Arabidopsis thaliana: one gene and its partners. The protein of the gene in region 1 interacts with the protein of each later gene in a pairwise test. Each region holds a gene or a part of one and is shown on either strand. Other genes may lie near its edges.

What was found.
Region 2: the proteins of AT2G31790 (region 1) and ZW2 interact in a two-hybrid assay, tested with the Arabidopsis thaliana proteins (one large-scale study listed by BioGRID).
Region 3: the proteins of AT2G31790 (region 1) and DHAR1 interact in a two-hybrid assay, tested with the Arabidopsis thaliana proteins (one large-scale study listed by BioGRID).

Annotation. Positions count from the first base shown.
Region 1 is NC_003071.7:13,514,965-13,523,579, forward strand, and holds AT2G31790 (UDP-Glycosyltransferase superfamily protein), read left to right. Parts: upstream 1-3,234; 5' UTR 3,235-3,304; coding exon 3,305-3,591; intron 3,592-4,028; coding exon 4,029-4,389; intron 4,390-4,477; coding exon 4,478-5,203; 3' UTR 5,204-5,400; downstream 5,401-8,615. Other genes in the region: ARI11 (RING/U-box superfamily protein), read left to right, coding at 235-1,473, 1,995-2,083, 2,175-2,178; AT2G31800 (Integrin-linked protein kinase family), read right to left, coding at 5,641-5,647, 5,823-5,954, 6,090-6,214, 6,497-6,582, 6,736-6,857, 6,959-7,021, 7,110-7,189, 7,290-7,410 and 4 more.
Region 2 is NC_003070.9:21,636,798-21,644,100, reverse strand, and holds ZW2 (transcription factor-like protein), read right to left. Parts: upstream 3,011-7,303; 5' UTR 2,952-3,010; coding exon 2,274-2,951; 3' UTR 2,060-2,273; downstream 1-2,059. UniProt on the Arabidopsis thaliana protein: May be involved in the regulation of abscisic acid (ABA) sensitivity.
Region 3 is NC_003070.9:6,771,243-6,779,008, reverse strand, and holds DHAR1 (dehydroascorbate reductase), read left to right. Parts: upstream 1-4,485; 5' UTR 4,486-4,595; coding exon 4,596-4,653; intron 4,654-4,777; coding exon 4,778-4,868; intron 4,869-5,054; coding exon 5,055-5,547; 3' UTR 5,548-5,707; downstream 5,708-7,766. Other genes in the region: GAMMA CA1 (gamma carbonic anhydrase 1), read right to left, coding at 1,917-2,207, 2,615-2,766, 2,869-2,994, 3,560-3,703, 3,958-4,072; AT1G19565 (uncharacterized protein), read left to right, coding at 5,878-5,930, 6,039-6,130, 6,363-6,565, 6,629-6,925. UniProt on the Arabidopsis thaliana protein: Displays a dual function. As a soluble protein, exhibits glutathione-dependent thiol transferase and dehydroascorbate (DHA) reductase activities. Key component of the ascorbate recycling system.

The DNA of each region.
Region 1 (8,615 bases):
ATGCTTATTGGCTATAATTTTGAGTTATCCTCTCTTATGTTGTTTTAGCACCAAGGATATCCTAATGATAACCCTAATATCTGAGCGATGATTAGAAGAGAGCTTCTACAAGTATAAATAAAATAACGATCGAGATCTTGTTAGAGCAAAGCCCTAGTTTACCAATGAGACTTGGCTTCATTTGCCTCCTTTAAATCTCAAAGTCGTTTAAGGTTTTTTTTTTTTCAGACGGTCATGAGTTCTTCAGATCGTGACATCATCGATATCGAATCAGGAGAAGAAGATTTGTATAGCGATGGTGGTAACGACATCATCGATATCGAATCAGGAGAGGAGGATTTGTACAGCGATGGTGGTAACGTATCCGATGACTACAACCCTGTGGACGACACAATTAGTCGATCTGAGAAAAGTTACGTTGTTGTTAAGGAAGAAGACATTCTTAAGCTTCAAAGAGACGATATCGAACAAGTTTCGACGGTTCTCTCTGTAAGCCAAGTGGAATCGATTGTTCTGCTTCTTCACTATCATTGGTGTGTTAGTAAACTCGAAGATGAATGGTTTACGGACGAAGAGAGAATCCGTAAAACCGTTGGTATATTAAAGGAGCCTGTCGTTGATGTTAATGGTACAGAAGTGGATATTCAATGTGGAATTTGCTTTGAATCATACACTCGAAAGGAAATTGCTAGGGTTTCTTGTGGTCATCCTTATTGCAAGACCTGCTGGACTGGTTACATCACTACGAAAATCGAAGACGGTCCGGGATGTTTAAGGGTTAAATGTCCCGAACCTTCTTGTTACGCTGTTGTTGGTCAAGACATGATCGATGAGGTTACTGAGAAGAAAGATAAGGACAAGTATTATAGATATTTTCTTAGGTCTTATGTCGAAGACGGGAAGAAGATGAAATGGTGTCCATCACCGGGATGCGAATACGCGGTTGAATTTGGTGTAAATGGAAGTAGTAGTTACGATGTTTCTTGTTTGTGTTCGTATAAGTTTTGCTGGAATTGCTGTGAAGACGCTCACTCTCCTGTGGATTGTGAAACAGTGTCAAAGTGGTTACTAAAGAACAAGGATGAGTCGGAGAACATGAATTGGATACTTGCTAAGACAAAGCCTTGTCCTAAATGCAAGCGTCCTATTGAGAAGAACACTGGATGTAACCATATGTCATGCTCAGCTCCATGTAGACATTATTTTTGTTGGGCATGCCTTCAACCATTGAGCGATCACAAGGCTTGCAACGCGTTTAAAGCAGACAATGAGGATGAAACTAAGAGAAAAAGGGCTAAAGATGCGATCGATAGATACACGCATTTTTATGAAAGATGGGCATTCAATCAATCCTCGAGGCTTAAAGCTATGAGTGATTTGGAGAAATGGCAATCGGTGGAGCTTAAGCAGCTTAGTGACATTCAGAGCACACCAGAAACTCAGCTCAGTTTCACCGTAGATGCATGGCTTCAGGTTAGTAAAAGTAACATTTACAAGACCATTGAAAATGTTTGTGGAAACGACGGAACATAATGGAATTACTACCATAGTAGATATATAATAAACGACAAGCTTTCTTGAAGACGATTTTATGAGTAACTTATCATTGATCTGAACTGATGAATAGATAGATTACAAAAAAAGTGTGTATAATTTTCAAACTGGCAAAAATCATCCCACCATTATGCTAGCCACCAATGAGATTCTAAGTTAGATTTTGTTACTTACATTGTAACAGCGGAACATAATCTGTAGTAGAAAAAACTAGAAAAGCTTTATTAAATTGAAAAATCATCTTAATGACGGTTAACTTTCCGAAATGGTGAAACCATTCCACCATTATGCATGAGAACTACCAATTAGACTCTAAGTTAGTTACGGCATTAATTATATTCTCATTCCACCATTATGCATGAGAACTACCAATTAGACTCTAAGTTAGTTACGACATTATATTAATTCTTGTTGACATGTACTTGATTTTACTGTTACAGATCATCGAGTGTAGGAGGGTCTTGAAATGGACCTATGCATATGGATACTACATACTTAGTCAAGAGCGCAACAAGCGAGTATTTGCAAGGTCAGTTTTTGGTACGGAAACACTTAATTTGTGTGTAATCTTAATTTTTCCATTAATTGTAGCAGAACTTTTTCGTTGTCTTGTTGTTCAGCTGAGGCAGAAAATGGTTTGGAGAGACTTCATCATTGTGCAGAGGAGGAGTTGAAACAGTTTATCGGGAAAATTGAAGACCCATCAAAAAATTTCGGTGAGCTCCGAGCGAAATTAATTGATTTGACTAAAGCAACTAAAACCTACTTCGAAAATCTGGTGAAAGCTTTGGAGAACGGTCTTGTTGACGTGGCATATAATGAGAGCCAGTCAATAGAAGAACCTGAATCTTTTACCAAAAGGTCCAAGACAAGGAAAATAAAAACTTTAATTTAGAGTTTTAGTAACTTCAATATTTTCTATGGTTTATGTGTTTGCTGCGAAGGACTGTAGATTTTTTTATGCCTTTTTTTTTAACCTTAGACCTCAAAGTTTTATTTATTTACAATTAAGGATTTGCGACTTTGCTGCTTGGTTGCTTTATATTTCATAGTGCAATTTTGGTGACCATAATTTGTATTTATTGTCTGAAAACTTCTCTAGATTAAGAGCTAATGTAATATCCATTCAAACATCGGATGAAACCTCTCCTAACATGACAAAGATTAAAAATAAATTACATGAATTGTGAGAACTCAAGCATCTATAATTCTATTTTCGTTGAGCTCATCTATACAACTCTTTCTGAAGTCCAACAAATTCTAAAATAACATGAAAAAGTATGATCCACAAAAAAAGAAAGATAACATAATGAAATCAAAATTTTTATCGGACCCACCCACCTAATCTCCTCCCTTCATGGCTTCATCTACCCGCCACGTTTATTATATGGCATAGTAAGAATCTTTTTTTTTTTACCATCACAATGTCTTAATCGTCATAGATTGCTCTCTACACATTTCATAGAAATCAATCCTGAAATACTCTCACGCATTGCATACAAACTTATTCACAAAAAGGAAGCATCAATTTATAATGAATCATTCCTTCAAATTTAAAACCAAATTAACAGAAGAAGAGAAGAAGAAGACGAAAAAGAAGAATTGACAAGTATTCTAAAAATTATAATAACTTTTATCCAACATCGTAAATAATGAGACATGTATATAACACTATATTCACTTAACTTACATAGGAGACACAATATCAACAACTTATTGTTCCTTTGGTTCGAACAATTTTACCAAAAAAATGAGTGAAGCAAAGAAGGGTCACGTACTGTTTTTTCCATATCCATTACAAGGCCACATTAACCCAATGATCCAACTCGCTAAACGCTTATCCAAAAAGGGCATCACCAGCACACTCATCATCGCCTCCAAAGACCACCGTGAACCTTACACCTCCGACGACTACTCCATCACCGTCCACACCATCCACGACGGTTTCTTTCCACATGAACACCCTCACGCCAAGTTCGTAGATCTTGACCGTTTCCACAACTCTACTTCTCGAAGCCTGACCGATTTCATCTCTAGGTACAATACATGAATTTCCAATATGACATATCTCCTTAGTTATTTTAGAGGTAATTTTACTTTGGAATTTGATGAGAGAACAATTTTAGTCAAAAATCTATATCCTGGACTTCCGAGTGACATAGAATTTCTATTTTTGTCAATTACGAAACGTTTTGTGTTCTGTCTCTTTTAATGTATATTTTGAGTGATTATCAACCACTTTTCATGTTTATACACAGTAATCCAGCTAGATTTTACCATTTACAACATTCATAAGCCTTTTTTTTTTTATGAATTTAAAATAGTTTATATAATGCATTAATGCCCATGTAAGAAATAAGCTTAATTAGTGTTAAAACTATCAAAGCAAGTTTCGTAGCGTTTTTAGGATAAGTATAATTTATATGCAAAAACGTTATCAATCTCTACTGTTATATAACCCCTTGTATATGCAGTGCGAAGTTGTCGGACAATCCTCCAAAAGCTCTGATCTATGATCCATTTATGCCCTTTGCATTGGACATAGCCAAGGACTTGGATCTATACGTAGTGGCATATTTCACTCAACCATGGTTGGCTAGTCTTGTTTACTACCATATCAACGAAGGCACCTACGATGTTCCCGTTGATAGACACGAGAACCCAACACTTGCATCGTTTCCTGGTTTCCCATTGTTAAGCCAAGATGATCTGCCTTCGTTCGCCTGCGAAAAAGGGTCGTACCCTCTTCTACACGAGTTTGTGGTTAGGCAATTCTCTAATTTATTGCAAGCTGATTGCATTCTCTGCAACACTTTTGATCAACTTGAACCAAAGGTAACGTTATTATTTAGATTGGTTTTGGTCATTATTTTGAGTTTTCGAAGGTGGAAAGTTTTTGTGGAACGTGTTTTTTCTTTCACAGGTAGTGAAATGGATGAATGATCAATGGCCGGTGAAGAACATTGGACCGGTGGTTCCATCGAAGTTCTTGGATAACCGGTTGCCAGAAGACAAAGATTACGAACTCGAGAACTCCAAGACAGAGCCAGACGAGTCTGTTTTGAAGTGGTTGGGAAACAGGCCGGCGAAGTCGGTGGTTTACGTGGCGTTTGGGACATTGGTGGCTTTGAGCGAAAAACAGATGAAGGAAATTGCAATGGCGATTAGCCAAACCGGATATCACTTCTTGTGGTCTGTTAGAGAATCCGAGAGAAGCAAACTACCCTCTGGTTTTATCGAAGAGGCAGAGGAGAAAGACTCTGGACTTGTGGCTAAGTGGGTTCCTCAGCTAGAGGTTTTAGCACATGAATCAATCGGGTGTTTCGTGTCACACTGTGGATGGAACTCGACATTGGAGGCACTATGCTTAGGGGTTCCAATGGTGGGCGTGCCTCAGTGGACTGATCAGCCCACAAATGCTAAGTTTATAGAGGATGTGTGGAAGATTGGGGTTAGAGTGAGGACCGATGGAGAAGGGCTTTCGAGTAAAGAAGAGATTGCGAGATGCATTGTTGAGGTCATGGAAGGAGAGAGAGGGAAAGAGATAAGGAAGAATGTTGAGAAGCTTAAGGTGTTGGCTCGCGAAGCTATCTCTGAAGGAGGTAGTTCCGACAAGAAGATTGATGAGTTTGTTGCTCTTTTGACTTAACAATTTGAAACTGAGATGTCATCAGTTTGTTAGTTGATTACCTAATAACGGCTTCTTTGTCATCTAAATTTGAATTATCCTGTTGGTTCCATTGGTTGTCCCCTGCGAACAAATCCATATATGAACTCTGTATTAAAAAACGGAGATGTTTGAATTTGAAGCATAACAAGAATAAAGAGCTTTCTTGATACTTATATAAATATGATACATTGTATCTCAAAATGCTCAGTTCTGTGCAGTAGAGAAGTCTATATAGCTCGATGAAAGTACTTTTTGGGGTTTACATTGTACACTGTTACACGATAAGACAATGACAAATCGGAGAGGGCCGTTTCTTTTTGTATTCTTTGTATCGAGTTTATTGTAAACATGAGAAGAGAGCTCTTGAATTGTGGAGTTTCTCGTGTTCCTGAGTAAACCTCTCACGTTCTTATGTACTATTTCCTGAGAAATCATACATTTGGGTGAGAGAAAAAATCATGATATATATAAAGAGCTTGGCTCTAGTCCGTTATGGATAAGAAAAATCACGATCTTAGAAGAAGTCGGCTTAACTAAGGTGGAAGTAGAAATGCAAAAACATAAATGATAAAGAGTTGTTAAGAGAAAGTTTTTTTACCAAGGGAACTTGAATGTATCTTTCCACCATCCCTGTTTTGAGCAGTGTACAAAGATCTTGTCCAATCGAACTATGATCTCAGAAAATGTTGGTCTAACAAAAGTTTCCGTATCCCAGCATTCCTCAATCAATCTGTTTAAATAACAATTGAACCAAATAAGCTCAAAGAGGTTGGGTAAAGGATCAAGGACCAAGCAAATGATGTTACTGTAACTTAAAGTGTAAAACAAGTTCTGTTTTAAAGTTGATAAAGCTTAGTACACTTACTCTCTCATCTCTTGGGGACAACTTTTGGACTTGGCTTTAAACGAAGGTCTTCTTCCTTCTAAACACATTAGCTTCACTGCCTCTTCTGGGGGTTTAGGATGGAAAGGTTGTACTCCTTCAATCATCTGAAATTTTTAAGATAAACTCATCAGAGAATTGATGCATGAGATTTGCTAGAGAAGCTTATTGGCCTCAATCAGTCAATGCTAGGAAAAACATAATCAGCTAGAATGGTTGAGAAACAGAATGAAGTACTTTTAGAGAGCATATAGAACAGTGAGTGGAATAAAACCAGACTAGATACAGCCATCAAGAAATGCCGAGGAGCACAATGTTTGACCATTAACGTAACTAATAGGTACCGGATATAAGATGACACCAAAACGTATGAATCCATAAGGTACTACCTCATATAATACGACACCAAAAGAGTAAGAATCCACACTCCTGTCAAATATTTCATCTTTGTAAACCTCAGGTGCCATACAGTAATCTGCAAACAACAAAAAAAATCATCTGTTTAAACTATTGCCTCATGGAAATGGACCATTCTTATAACTTATGAGTATATCAATAGTAGAAACAGTTTCTATACTTAATACTTGTATCAAAGTTTCTCAGGAGGAAATAAGCATTTAGGACTTACTTGAAGGATCTATATGGGCCCCGTGATTAAGGATTTTTGATTTATCAGATGATAACTTTGCAAAACTTATCAAACCAAATCCCGCCACCTTCAGATGTCCTCCACTATCGAGCATAATATTTCTGGCACCTTACAAGAAGTTGCAAAAATTAGATAACGAGGGTCCAAATATATGTTCTCGAAAAACTTAACGTGCAAATGCTTCTTTATTTAGTTATCTTACTTGGGTTTTAGATCACAGTGGATTACTGGTTCTGGTTTACACTCGTGAAGATAATTCATTCCCCTGAGAAGAGCCAAATGATTCGTTCAAAAGATTATTAAAAAAAATGTAGTTGTAAGTTGAATACAATCTTGCCAAAAAAGTCACATGCCTGGCTATATCGAGGGCAAATCTTAGAACTTTGGCTGGAGAAAGACGACCTTTTTTTTGAAGATAGCTCCCAAGGTCCCCCTGCAAGTTACCACCAAGTGGACAACATTAGTTCCTACCATCCAAATATTGCTTAATGAGGGAAAAATCTTTTAAGGTGTAAAAAGAGGGAGAAGCTTACTTTAGGATGATACTCGGACACAATCATCATGGGGACATTTTGAGTAACAGCTCCAACAAATTGCACAACATTAGGATGACGTACCTTCTCGAATAAAGTAAGTTCGTGTTTGAAGGCATTTCTGTGGGTACATAATAAAAGTCAGATGAGAAGATTGCAGAACAAACGTAATATATGAAAAGAAAAACAAGGATTAACACAGAGGGAATGAAGTGGATTCCAGAAAATATTACTGGAAATGCACAATTCCAACATAGAAGATTCTATAAGAACTATGATTGAATAATGTTACAGCTCATATCATCATCACTATGAACATAACAAAGATGATTTCAACGATCTATAGCTTCACTCAAGAAGAAATTCAAACTCCTTCTTGACCTGTTAGCTAACATAGACATATTACTCACTGAAGAGAAGAGTAATCTTACATAGTGTCAGAATCCTTGTAGAGATCCTTATCAAGTATCTTTACAGAAACCTTAGTCCCATTCCATTTAGCCACTTGATATATTCCCTGGCAAGTGGAAAAGTGATGTAGTATCTTGTTAAAAATCTATAAATGGAAACTAAGACATTATTACAGGAAAGTAAAGCAAAGAGAGATCTTGCCTTTGAGATACCATCAGCTTTCCGAACTTGAAGTTCCTGCGGATTTAACTCGTACTCAGGAACTTCACGAGGATTCGCCACAACCATGGGTGTCCTTTTGGTTTTCTAAAACCAAGAAGAAAATGTAACTATAAACATATTAAGATATGAAAAGAACAGAGCTTGAATCAATGAAAAATGCAGCAACATACCGGAACTTTAGCTCCACGGGCTTTCAAAATGTTGAAAACATCCATGTTACCATAATACTTAGCATCAGCAGCTGCCTATCCACACAACACAAACATAATTTCAAAACCAAAAGCACAAAACCTAACCAATAAGAGACAACAATAGAAATTTATCACATTACCGTGCTTCCCCAACGATCACGAGCATCAATATTAGCCTTCCTAGTAAGAAGAAGCTTGACAACATCGACATGACCTTCACAAGCAGCGATATGAAGAGCCGTACGACCATCAAGATCGATACTATTAACATCAATACCTTCATCAAGCAGATCCTGAACACCTTCAACATCACCTCTACAAGCCACAAATAGAAGCTGCATAGTAGCGTCGAGATTATCCGGTACAGCAAGCTGCGGACCGTTAGAACCATCAGGACTCCGACGAATCGGATCTAAAGACGATTGTCGACCAAAACTAAATCGCATATTGTTCCGGCGAGGATCATGTGAAGCTTGACGCGTGAATTGACGACTAAGCGTAC
Region 2 (7,303 bases), on another chromosome or scaffold:
AATTAATAGAAAGCCACCGTAATTATGCGAACCTTTCTTTAAATATAGTGATGTGATGTCCATTTGCCTACATCCAACGCACAATAATGCTGTCACTTCAATATTTTGGAAGAACCCTAAAATTATTAGTATCTATTACCCGCATGTTTAATTTTAATCAACTGTTGGTTAATAGTGACTTAATATCAAATATGCGTCGAAGGCTAGCTAGTATTTTCTCAAGAGTTTTGTTCTTTATTATGTCGGATTTTGGGACATATATAAATAGATTTAAGGGTTGTCATTTATCACTCACAAGGTAAATAGAAAGTAAACCATAGAAGTAAGAAAGTATCAGCCTCAAACAAATTAATTGTTTCTTCTTGTTTACGAGTTTTCTAGTTTTGTCCGTATAGTAACACAAAAATAGTATTATGCTTAAATGATGACTACAAAAATACGTGACACTCGTCACAAGTTTTGTTTTCTATAATTAGTTATAGGTATATGCTTAAATTTTTACTTCGTATCATAGTCATAGACCTATACATAAACAGTTGGTTATTTATGGAGTCAAGACTCAATAGTAACCTAAATACTATAAATTATATAATCTAATATAATCTTGAGTTGACGCAACTAGTGTCACGTAGCTACAAAACTAAGCATCAAAGTTTCAAATTAAAGTAGAGATGCATTGCATCAATCTAATATGAAGTTAGAGAGATGCTCTGATTCTGCCAGACTAAAAAGTTATGAGTGACAATTCCTGAAAAGCAAAACGAATTAGTTCTCATAACTCATGAAAATGTTGCCTAAATTAATTCGAAACATAACATTAAGCCGGAAGGAATTGTCTCATCCAAGGTGTCTATCACCACAACTGCACATACGAATCCGATTCTTACAAGCCATTATGGATGGTTTCCCAATCTCTTAACCAAAATCTGCACCACGAAAAGAAGCATCTTTAGGTATCGGTTTTTTCCGACAGCAGGCATAAACCGAAGTTGTATCGTCAACAGTTTTTTGTCAAACCCACCAATGCTTTTTAGTTTTTACATGTAGTCATGATGAAGCAATCGTGCACTAAGTAATGCACTACGTGTGGAATCGAATTATGATCCGTTACATAATGTGAATTCCAGAAAGTAAAAGGGTTAGTGATAATAATGGAAGACAATTCTATTTCATTTGTACTTCAGTACTTGTTGTGCTCCCATGGTGCAACGAAGAATTGGATGGAATTTTGATTATTAAAGACTTAAAGTATTTATGGAGAATCAGTTTTCTACAGCTTTAGAAGTTTCAAGTCAAGTGCATGAGTAGATAGTAAGATGGTCTTTTTGTGTTCTTGCCGCTTAAATATTTTATAAATGAGGCAACTTCATGGGAGAGTGATCCCTTGAGCGCCTCTGCCAATAAACACTATTAAGTTGAAAAAACATGATATTTAGTACCTCAATATTAGTGAAGAAGATTTTAAATTCGACGGTGAAACGTGAAAAACATATGAGAAGCATGGACTATCGAAATGGGTAAGTTAAATTGTTATTATCACTGGCCATAACAAGAGAAAGAAAAGCAAAAGATACTAATTTCTTCATTTTATCCTATTAATTTTTTTTTTTGCAAAAATGGATATAAGAATTTCTAATTTTTAGCCAATAGATCATATGAATTAAAACATGATACTGTTCAAAACCCAAAAATGGGCGGACCTAGACGCTGAACAAGAAAAGCCTATCCATTCGCCAAGGCCCAACTAGTCAATATGTATGGAAATCAATGCCTACTGAGAACTGCAAGTAATCTTAATATAAGCTACATGTAACAAGAGCAAGAGCTAGAAGACTTACCACCAACTTGAATGCCATGAATTGTAAAAATTAATTTTGTGTTACGGTAAGTTGTGGACTGTATTGTTTATTCAAAGGCTTCTTACAATCGAACATAAAGAAGAAGACATTTTTGGGGAAGAAAATGAAGAAAGGGATAGAAGATTGGCTGATTAAATAAACCACTATCTTTCTTACATCATTCATCAAAATCTGACTATCATTTACAAAGTAGGATCAACTCTCACTAGAGAACTAAAAGTACGATGGCATGAAACGTAATTACATACAAAACTCATGTCCAAAGCCCAAACCTATACATAAGCACTACCGGATTTGTTTTTATTGTAGAACAAATGTTGTTCACTTATAAGACCAAACCTGATTTCGAAATACTTAGAACACTCAAAAAAAAAAAAAAAGAACATTAAAGTCCTAGCAAAGAACTGTTTCTCTCTACACACCTAAATCTCTCAGCCGGAGATAAAACTCTCCAGCGGCTCTTAGCAGCTTGATCGACTGCCGTGGATTCAGAACCTCCACCACTTTCCCAACCGTCACACACCGGAGTTGATCAGCGTTCTTCATCGCTTTAATCATCTCTACCTTCAAAACCTCCATTGCATCCTCCATTTCTGGCTGCTCTCCTTCGCCAAGCCTCAACACTCCGATGCGCCTAAATGGAACCATCAGAAGTGGATCCCCCACGCTCTGTTGTAGAAGCGCGAACCTTCGCATCAAATCTCTCTCCCTCCGTTTAGTCTCTAACCGAATGCTCTCGAGTTGGTCTATTTGGTGGCTCGTAAGGTCATTAACAGAAGTGGTTATGAGCTTAAAAACCATACCTGGTTTAAAACCTCCGATCCAGAGGATGAGTTTCTCGTATGAGCTGAGCCATGGTGGAGAGAAGAAATCATATATATCGTCACCGGCCACGGACATGGCAACTGATTTCTCTTCGTAGTATTGGAGATAGTGAGAAAGAAAGTTACTCACAAGAGATTCTTCTTCTATTGGAGTTACAATGGTTGTTTCATCAGCAAGGTGTGCAAGTTGTTGGACGAATTGCCTGTGACGGCAGAGCCAGTCATTGAAGAAGCTCGCAAAAGTTTCAGAGCTGCTAGTGATTGGCATGACTCATATATAGTTCCAAGTGAGTCAATGAATATAGACGAGACATGCATGTGTGTCTGTTTAAGTATTTATATAAGACAAAGACATCATCGTTAAAAATTATAGGTCGATTTTGGTGAAGTTAAGTAGTAATTAGAATGTTTAATTTTAATAGTAAATGGGAGCAGTAAGCGGTTTCAGAATGGTACAAAATAGTACAAAATGTACGATCTCTCATACAGATAATTTACGTAATTTGAAACATTTTAGGGCATGTCATTTCTAGGTAAATTTTTGTTTCTTATAGAGACATCCAAATTATCAATTGAATATCTAAATTACTTCAACAAATAAATAAAAAAGGACTGGGATGTATTATCTTGACCATCTACTTATCATCTAAAACCATCTCCATCAGTAGTCTCTCACATAGTTTCTCATTAACTAAAAAATATAAAATAATAATAAAATAGAAGAGAGATAGGAGAGAGATTGAGAATAGTTTCTTTGCAGAGAAATTTTAGAGTAATGATTGAGAGATTATGTGTATATGTGTGTATTTATAATTGCACAGAAACTAAATCATAATAAAATATTATTATATTTTTTTTTTGAGAAACTTTTAAAGTATGTGACCAATGGAGATGACCAATGGAGATGACCTAATGTCTTAATAATTGTTCTAGCCATCTATTAAATTACGAAACTATATATTTTTGAAGGTGTGATCAGTGAAAATAAGAGTTAAGTGGCTATATACACATCACATAAGAAATATTTAGCAACCATTTTCGGTTATTTTTATATTGATTTCAGAAAAGTTAACATTATTGGAGCTAAGTGTTTATAGACACTGTAGAATGCCATGATAATTTAAATTTATCCAAAAGTGAAACGTTTTCAATTTAATAGATGGTTATTTTTATATTTTACTTAATAGACTATTAATGATTTTAACATAATTATGATGATTATCAGTATTGGCTAATATATTATGTTTTTGAATCATAGTATTGATGTATAATAATGTGTATGGAGATCTAAAATAAAAGGTATATGTAATGTAATCACATTGTTCATATTCATGGATATAAAAAACATTTTTTCTATGCATAGTAATAAACTTCCATACACAACGTAAAATTCACTGTCACAAAACAAAAAGGGTTACAATCATATTCAGAGCTGCAGATTTAACCCGCAAAAAAATATCGAAGTGCTGGAGGAGGTCCTAAACCGGACGTAGCATCCATTGACAAGCTACATTGATCTATCATTTCAAGTTACAATTTTTTTTATATTTTTTTGATAATGTACAAAAGTTTTATGTTACGTTGATAAAAGAATATTAAGGCTGACGATCTTAAGAAATTGTAGACATGTGTGAAGAGAATCTATAACGTATATTCTTTTCTTCTTCTGGAATCCAGACTTTTGTCTTTACATTTAAACTTCACACTTGTGTTGTGTGGTAATGTTCAAGTAGAAAACAACAAATAACAATAGATATAATAAACCAATCGTAGTGGTTAAGAAACAAAGACATTGAATGAAGCGAATGTCGCTACACTGAACTTGGAACCATTGTAGGTAAGATTAAAAAAGGAACAAAAAAAAAAAAACTTATAAAGTTTTGTTAATCAGTAGTATCAAAAAAATAAAAGATGTGTTATTAAATTATTTTATTTTGTACAAATAACACACTCAATGTTTATTCAAATAGGTATGTTTTTATTACAAAAAAAAAAGAACTCTTTATAAACTAAATAACTCAAATAAGCTGCTGGCAAAGATAAACGGACTTAATTAAACTCACAGAGTCACATGTAAAAGTAACACTTTTTGGTATGATTATAAAAATAATATGCAAATCCATAGGTAAAAAGCCTATTTCAACATGTATAATTTTCGTCGTACGTGCTTGTACAAATTCATAGGAGAACCGAACCAAAGTGTATATATAAAAGATTAGGCCTTTCATAGAAGAAAAAAGATCAAGAGCTAGCTTTTGTTTTAATCTTAGAAAGAAGGAATTTACTTTGTTCGAGAAGCAGGCGTTCGTGTGCATGGATTCTGAATGATCTATGGATTCTGAATGATCTCAATACTTTGCGTAGAATAAGAAATTGGTTGGTGAGAAGCTAAGTATTTGTTTTAGTTGTCTGTAAGCCCAATAAGTGTGTGCAACAACTTTAAAAGATTTTCTATTGAAGTATTTTTTATATAAGGTGAGCCGAGGCTTGGTATATCTCGTCTCGTGTTACATACATCTTTACTTTTTTCATTTTCTCACCTCTAACTTCACCGAGCTTGTCAACGATCTCATATCCTTGGTGTGGAACAAACTAGTCCCCATCATACAATTTGAGAATTTTGTGACGACAATCATATTTCCTAGTGATAATCCCCTAGCTAAAAACTCATGTATAAAGTGTTTCATAAACAAAAGTTGTTTCTCATTAATGGATTTCTAGACTACGACTGAAGTGTGCAAAAATCATTTTCCATCACTGTATAAGGTCGCTTTTCGTGATGGGATTATTTATATATGAATTGGTAGTACTTATGGGGCTAAGGTAGGCCAAGCATATTCACTAAAACTTTTGGACTTCAAATACGAGTTTCCTACGTTTTATGTTATCTATCATCTTTTTATTCTTTATTGAGTTCGTGTTCCTACTTCAAACACTTTTTTTTTTCACTCAAGGAAGAAAAGAGTGAAGAAAGATTCTTAAATAAGAAACTCTAAGATATTTACGAGAATCCCATAAAACACATGTCTCTCCTATTTTGATTCAATATAATTTTTTAAATTAAAGTTTATAAAACTAAAATATATCAAAATAATAATGACTTTTTGTTTAAAAAAGCTTTAGAAGTTATGATGGATAGAATTCTCATATGGTTATTATCAGTGAAGTAAAAGAGTGGTTTAATCAACTAACTGTTCCTATTAGTGAGTTCCACGTTTTTCTCTCGTTTCCGTAGTTTTACCTCTGTCTGATAGTTGGTAAGCTACGTTTGGGAGATTTTAAAGCCTTGTTACTGATCCTAAAAATCACCACATAATTTTTCCATGTTTTATCCTCAGTTACATGGTTACAACAATCACTTTCTGGAAGGTCACCAATTTTGAGATTTTTCAGCTTAAGCACACTTAACTATGAAGTTATCCCAAAAAGTTTCACCGAAAAGATAAATGCACGTTGGTGATATAAATAGTCAAATCAATTCTATTAAACGTTTTCGCATGCACCACCATATTCCTAAAATCGGAGTGTTACAATTCATCCCCACAAACAGAACGTAACGTTCTCGTGGCACACCAAGATCGTAACCCCGGATGGAGCGAGCTTTCTTGATTTCACACTCATGTGAATTCGGATCTGATACTACTTATGACGTTCTGACTGTCCCTACTAGTGGGCTCCACGTCTTCTTTCGGGCATGTGGGTTCACCTCTGTCCCACGGTCGGTACGCTACGTCCGGGAAATTTTAAAGACTTGTTACCTTCCCTACAAATCACCACATGATATTTTTTAATGTTTTGTCCTCATTTACTTGGTTCCAACAATCACTATTCGGAAGGTCTTCCATAATGAGACTTTATCAGCTCAAGCACGCTTAACTGTGAAGTTCTCTCAAGAATTTGACAAAAAAGATAAGTATACTTTAATGATATAGATGGTCAAATCAATTCATTTAAATCTATGCGCATACACTATTGTATTTCTTAAATTGAAGTATTACACCGTATAACAATATTTAAAAATTTAAATTTTGTTTTTAATAATTTATTCATTGGCATATAGAAATCTATGTTTTTCACTAAATATTATAAGCTTGATGAGCAATATTCTCAACAAAAGAAAAAATCAAAATAAATATAAAGAGATGAGGTGAGTAAATTAACAAAATGACAAAACATATACCATTACTACGGTATAATTGCATTTGATTTTGTGTATTTCTTCACATTGTATTAACGTACGGGATGATACCAAACGTAATCGTAGCTTAGCCTGAAATATCAGAATTCAGATGGAGGCAATGATCATCCAAATAAATAAAGAAAATCAAAGATTGAAAAATTAAAATATTGAATTTAAGCAATTTCATAGATAAATTATGCAAAACTCAAGAATAAATCTTGGTCGCATATTGTGTCCAGTTAAATCATGGATGGAAATTCCAAAGATATTTACAAACAATTTTGACTTTTCAATTGTCTTAATCAGATGACCTATATTCTATTTTTCTTCGGGATATTTTAAACAGATACATATCTAATAAATTTACATTATAATTTCGGCGTGAATTGTGAGTATGTTACTCGGTCTTTGGTTATGGTTTGAACATTGATGTTGTGGTT
Region 3 (7,766 bases), on another chromosome or scaffold:
TCGTCTCAGGTTTTATATATACGGCGGGTGGAGACGAAAGCCAGGAATAAGAAGATGATGATGGTTTATTGGATATTTACGAAACTACCCTTACATAAATCAAATCAAATTTTATAGGTCAATAATAACTGATCAAATAAATTCTTTACGCTATCTGTTTTCTTGTTAATGATTTAAGTTTTATTCATTCGTGTCCTTGAGGATAACAAATAGTTAATAGTAGTTTTTTTTGATAAAAAATGAATCTTAATTAATGAAAATGAGAAGTGCAAAATCAACGTATTAAGTAATTTAACATCGCATTTTGTGCATCAAACATTGCATTTTGTACAGCATATGATAAAATAAAATTAAGAATTTATTTTATTTAAAATTTTATAGGTCAGTAATAACTGATCAGATAAATTCCCTACGCTTTTTTGTTTCCTGTTAATTATTTAAGTTTTATTCACTCGTGTCATTGAGTGTAACAAATAGTTAACAGTTTTTTTAACAAAAAGTGAATCAATGAAAAGGAGAGGTGCAAAATCAACGCATTAAGTAATTTAGCATCTCATTTCGTGCATCAAGCATTACATTTTGTGCCGCATATGATAAAAAAAGTTAAGAATTTACTTTATTTAACATTTTTCTATGATCAAAAGTACTTTATCGTGAAATGTTATCATGGTAAACTATGGTTAAGATATTAGCAATGATTCAAAAACCTCATTATTTGAAAGAGCCTCATTGCTCTTTGAAATGTTAAATTAGTGTTAGACTTATCATATCTTTTAATTTGTATGTAGTACATATACAATCATGGAAACCATTTAAAGTACACAACCTAGCGGCCATAGTAGATTATCAGCTCCGAATTATATGCTTTGATTATCGATCCGTTGTGTATCCTTTGTAGATTTACGACTCGCTATTACGTGGGTCATTTAGTAATTGTAGTTAAAACTTTCAAATTTTTATCTAAACTCACTGATATGTTTTAAAGTTTCCCACACTACATATTTTTTTTTGTTACATCAATTAAAATTTTTCTTATTATAAACTCTAAAAACATTGTTGTTGTTACATGAAACTATGATATAGATTAGTGCAATTTGTAAATTCCGTCAGCTTGCAAAATCGTACTGTTTCTTTGGTCATTGTTTGTAAGGATTTTTGATCTGTTTACCGTAAGTTTTATAAGGCTTGCGATGTCTAAGTTGGTGAACATTTTACACAATCTACCGTTTCAAATTTCCAACACCATGTCTCGTGGTTCAAATTGAGAGAAAAAATGGCCCATTAGTTGAGATCTACAAAGTGACAAGGGAGAAATCCAATTATTAGTATTATTGTAACAAATGGTTGAATACTTGAATCCTAAAAGAACGACAGCCAGAAAGCTAGAAAACAAAAGATAAATCTCAAGAAAAGAAACGGCCTTTGACAAAAGGAAGGAGACGAATCATAATAATAGATACACGATACAAGATTTGATTTTATCAAAAAAATAAAAAGACGACCAAGCAAGCGTAATTCACGGTACCAATACCATCAACCCCACTAATAATTTGCAGTAATTATAAAAAGATAAATATATGATATATCCAGTTTGGATCTTTATTCTTCATGCTTGCCTAGCAACATAGGCGCACATGGATTTTTGCATACGCACATGCATCAGACTAATATTCACTCATGTTTCATGAACTTGATTCTTACGTTCAAAAGACCGAAGTGATAACATACAAAGTTTGATTAGACAATAATACTCCCTAAGAAACCATGAAAAAATGTTGAACATAGCTTCTTCAAAAGCTGTAAATCCGTCTACCCTAATGTACTCTACCTGCCATATTCAAACCAGAGACCGAAACATAATCCCCTTGAGTATCTCACCCTGTAGGGCTTCGGCCAGAAAACATACCCCTGAAAAATCAGTTCACATTAGAAGGACGCTTGGTTTCTTTATCAGGCAGTATGTTGTTAGGGAGGTTAAGCTCTGGTGGAGTTTCTCTCACTATTCCGAGCATTGAGTCATACTCCTCGTCCTTTAGAGCATGCTTCTTGCGTAGAACCTTCTCGAACTCAATCACATTTAATGGCTTTGCATTCTCTGCAGCGTGAGCCTGTGCGAGGTTTGAGTAGTTTGTTGCTGACTGAGAGATAAAAGCAATTTCCTCATCAGTGAGCTTCCTGAGGAACCTTGCTGGGTTTCCTCCCCATACCTGAGTCATTATAGACCAATGCGAACATTTTAACTCTGTCAGTCAATATGGCGGATGAAGTAAATTTTAAGGCCATGATGAGAGACTAACACCCTTTGGCATTCATATGCAGATAAACCATAGCTAGAAGAACATTTCCACTTTCATCTAACTAACATTTATAATCTGTTAGGGCATCTGAAAAGTGGATAAGATACGTTCTATCCAGATAGAGGAGAAGAATTCTCAAGACTAGAAACTGTATTTCAATTTCACACCAACCTCCAATACTTTCAGCCAATGAAAGAAAGACACTAATAATGTCAATAATATAGCCTATGCTGTCTAAGTAGCAATAGAAGTATACCCGCACCAATGGTTACTTGTGGGTTTTCAGGTAATCAGAAATGTTAAACCCAAAATCATACCTCTCCAGAAGGAATTCTGGTGTTTTGTCGTACAAGTGCACCAGCAGCAACCATCCCATGCTTTTCAACAACGACCCCATCAAGAAGTGTCGCACCCATCCCAATAAAGGTCTCATCCTCAACAGTACATCCATGTAAAACAGCACTATGACCTGTTACACATTTAATTTAAGACTATATCCCAAATGCTTCTTGGAGATGTATGCATATTAAACATTTTCAAAATAAACAGTGAGTAAGAGATTCCCACTAACCAATGGTTACATTGTCTCCAATTATGGTTGGGTGCACCTTCCCGCTTAAGTTTGATTTTGCCACATGCACAAGTGAGTTGTCCTGAATATTAGTTCCTGACCCAACACTTACGGTGTTCACATCGCCTGCGCAGAAAAAAAGAGAGAAAGCAAGTTTAGATTGTATGTTATCCCAGTTTCCTGGTAAAGTACTAACAGGCTTAGCCATACAGTACCAATGTGTTATGACATGAAAGCATTCTGTAAAAAGGACAACCCTATTTCATCACCATTAAATAAAAATCCAGACTAGCCAACTCATACTCGCAATAAGGATTCAACTCAAACTCAATAATCTGTATATGATATCGTTCAACTAATTCTGGTGTTATGACATGAAAGCATTCTGTATATGATTGGGGATATCATATACCCAATCACCCATTAGAGCAACTGCCAGTATCATCAAGATACGATATGTAGTAATGATCTGTTTAAGATCCTTCAATAAAGCTAGAAAGCTCCATTTTGAGTAGTAGTCTTGTTCATCGCTTAACCAGAAGAGTAAAAAACAGATATTCGTTCACTATTTTCTATCGTAAGAGTTGACACAGCTAAGGATACAGAAGTAGATACTATTTCAAACAAAACTTCAGTCACTAAAATAGTCAACCACCAAACACCAAACATTGAGGCTTAGTAGCTAGCTCACCTCGTAATACGCATCCATACCAAATGGACGATCCTCTTCCAATGTGAACGTCCCCAATAACTGAGGCGCTTGGTGCCACAAAAGCTTCCTTGTCCACAATCGGAGCCTTATCAAATACATTCATCAGTGTCCGATGCCTTGACACTACACAGAGAAAACCACAATTACATATAAGCAAATTTCGTGACCAGGAAACAAAAAAAAAACTAAGCAGCAAAACACATTCCACATCAATTAATCCCTTGTGCCATTCGAATCCAGAATCGCTATACCTACAAAGACATCAATTCCAGATCTCTAACCTAACCAGAATAGGTGAGCTGAATTACCCAATCGAAACTCCTCACTCTTTACGAATTCGAAATCGGAGTGAAAAATAGAGTTACGCAGAATCTTACGTTGTTCTCGGAAGTAATTTTTGCCTTGAAGGCGACAACCGAGGCGATCAAGAGCTTGACCAGTCTCACGGATCCAAAAACCGACCGAGTAAAATGCTCTGCCTAGGGTTCCCATTGATCGTCACTTTCTTCGAGCTCACAGGTAAACGAGGACTCAACACTGAATGAAGAAGACGAAAATGGTCGAAGCTGAAGAAGAGACGGAAGAAAAAAAATCAGCGAAAATGGATTTCAACAGGAACATTCCGGGACGGCGAAACAATAAATTACAGTTACAGTGGTTTAATATGGTTTAATCGAACCAAAACAATACGAAATATGAACCAAATCTAATTCGATATTTCAGGTAGTAGTTTCATTAAACCGATTATATTATTCGGTACGAATTTATTACTATATTTTCACTAAATTGAACGGTCCAAAACCTGCCGACCAAAAATCAAATGGCCCTATCAGTAACAATGTCGTTTCGTATCGTCGTCACTTGCAACGCATAACACGTGAGAAAAGATAAACATCGGGTAAAAATGGCCCACTGGTGGGTGGAGAATGGTAATAATTCAGTTTAAAAGCTAAGCCTTCTCACTGATTAACTCAATCATTCATCCGTCTCTGCAAACAAAGGAAGAAGAATCAAGATGGCTCTGGAAATCTGTGTGAAAGCTGCTGTTGGTGCTCCTGATCATCTCGGCGACTGTAACCATCTTCTCTTTCTCTCTCTGTTTTTGTTTTGCATTAAGCTTTTGATTTTGCAATTCTTAATTTCTGAGCTTTGATCGTTGGTAAATTTACTAATTTAAGTGTTTGTTTGTCGTTTTAGGTCCGTTCAGCCAACGGGCTCTTCTCACACTCGAGGAGAAGAGTCTTACCTACAAAATCCATCTGATTAACCTCTCTGACAAACCCCAGTGGTCAGTTTCTCTCACGCCTAAACCCTTAAGATCGGTCTAGTTTGAACTTGTTTAGCCATAATCTCTGAAATTTTACTTGTAACTGGTACGAGCTTTGTGTTAACCGGAAATTGGATTGGCTTCATGTGCGAGCATTGTGTTAACCGGAACTTGAAATTGGTGGCTTTGGTTTTATATATGATGCAGGTTCTTGGACATTAGTCCTCAAGGGAAAGTACCAGTGCTTAAGATCGACGACAAGTGGGTGACTGATTCCGACGTCATCGTTGGTATACTCGAGGAGAAGTATCCTGATCCACCACTCAAGACTCCTGCTGAATTTGCCTCTGTTGGATCCAACATTTTTGGTACTTTTGGGACATTCTTGAAGAGCAAAGACTCCAATGACGGATCTGAACATGCCTTGCTTGTTGAGCTAGAAGCTTTGGAAAACCATCTTAAGAGTCACGATGGCCCTTTTATCGCCGGAGAAAGAGTTTCCGCAGTGGATCTAAGCTTAGCACCAAAGCTTTACCACCTTCAAGTTGCTCTTGGCCATTTCAAAAGCTGGTCTGTCCCTGAGAGCTTTCCCCATGTCCATAACTACATGAAGACTCTGTTCTCGCTCGACTCTTTTGAGAAAACTAAGACCGAGGAAAAGTATGTGATCTCTGGATGGGCTCCCAAGGTTAACCCTTGAAACTATGCACCGTTATGAGATCGTTGGTGTGGTAATGTTGTTCAAGGTCTCTCTCTTATATCAGTCAAATAATGTACTTGGACCTTTTTATGTAATGTACTGTATCAATCAAATAAGAAGCCTATTTTGAAATAAGATTTGCCTCCATATCGAAACTCGGATAAACACTGGCTACACGTAACATAAGGGACAAGGGTTTTTTCAGACAAATTATTTAAGAAACTCATCGACAGTACTTGTGTACTTGACCTCAGGATAAAGCTCAGAAGTCTTAACTCCAAAAGAAGGATCTATAGTCAAGGAGGTAAAGTCGCTCTTCGCAAGGACCGTATGGATCAAACCCACAAAAAAATCCATTGGAGGCTGGGTCTCTGCAAATGCAAGTGACTCGTTTAATACTTTGGAGTTTGGACTGATGAATATTGGATATCAGAAACTGTTTTTATGGTTTAACTGATCACCTTTGATGGTTTTGAGGAGTTCTTCCTCAGAAACATAAGTCTTGTCGAGACTCGAGAGTCTTACCGATCTTTACATCCCACAAATCAACCATATCGTTCTGCGATACAATGTTCTTGGGCGGGTGAATGTAGGGTTGGGTGAGATTTTCCAAGAATGTTCCTGGGAGAAGGCAGTTATAGTCGCACCGTCAGCAGTCGTAAGGTAATCGGATTTTATTGTGGATGACCAGCGATTTTCATGATTTGCATCAAATTGTTTTTTCTCTTCTTCTGAGGGATACGTCGTTTTTCCTGATCCACCGTACCCATATGAGCGGGGACGTGTAAGAGGTTTCTAATCTGAAGGCTATCCAGATGACAACTTTGTTACACCGGAGGAGGAATATGAACCATCCTTGCCCTCTTCAGAATCACCAACTGACAGCTGTCATGCTGACCATGAATCACCCGATTCACCAAAATATCAACAACCGGCTCCGGGAGAAAGGCCGGAATGTGAAATCTACAAAGATTTATGTTCTGATCCCCAGACGGTAGACTGGGCGGCTCCACCTTTGGTAATTTACTACTACGTTCTTACTCTTGTTTATGCTTAATAAGCCGAAATTCTACTTGTTGAGAAAATCAGAGATGGAAGACACCAGGAATTGTTTCTTCTGTACGCGGAAATCACATTGTTCTCCCACTGGGCATCTATTAAGCTAGTGGAGTGGGCAAAGCCATTGGAGCTAATATATGTAATTGTGCAAACCTGGGAGCCGAAGCTGACGATGAAGGCCAAGGCAGCGAATGCAAACTTCTACGTTACCTTTTCAAACCGTCACGGTTTTCCCTACCATGCTGTCATAAGGAGAACAACGACTAGAATACCAAACCAGATGTCGCTTGAATTCAAGATGTTGATGCGTTCCAAATAACAAGTATCCTATCGTCCCATTATGTATTATCATTTTATCGATTTGAGAGTTGTTTCTCCAGATGGTGGTGTGGCTACATTTTTATTTTCTCAATGTTTCGCTTGTTGTGTGTTACTCAAGTTTATGAGTTAATGACTTCTCTCGTACATCCCCGTCTTTCGACTACTTGTTGCTGTAACTTTGATTTGAATGTCAAGAGTGTTCGTCCTTTAATTTGTCCTAGTTGCAAGTTTTTCAGAGATGGAAGAAAAGCCATACGAGGAACAACCATGAGAATTGCATTACAGAATGTGAGGGTCTCGAGCGATTTGCAGGTGTACAAGCAAATTGGCAATGTAGCAGATTTGTTATGATGAGAAGAATATTCAACGCATAGTTTGATATCTTCTGGTTGAAATGGTAAAGTACAAAACTTGAGACGCAAGCTTTCTAAAACCGGAACTCTATGTAGTGGCAATGTCCTTTTAATTAAACGTCGTAACCTCCGGAGATTGGACGGTTTAGTGTCACGATCATCATGCTCGAGCTTCTTTCACAGCAGAGTGAACAGTTACGTACAGAGAAAAACGGTGCAAAAGAAATTGATATTGTGGAAGGTTGGGGGTGAGACTTTACTACTGACTAGGTTATTTCCATATCTCGAACGTCGTTTTATTTTTTTGAATATACTTTCTGGTCAAAGTTTGTATTCGATGTCTTTCTGGGAACTAAAATGTGTTTTGGGAATTAAAATGTGTTTTGGGAACTACAAAGAGAACTTAAACACACTAAGTTCATTCAATTGTAATAAACACGAAACCTTAATCGCAATTTGGCTGTGTAGAAACATAATTAATGGCGG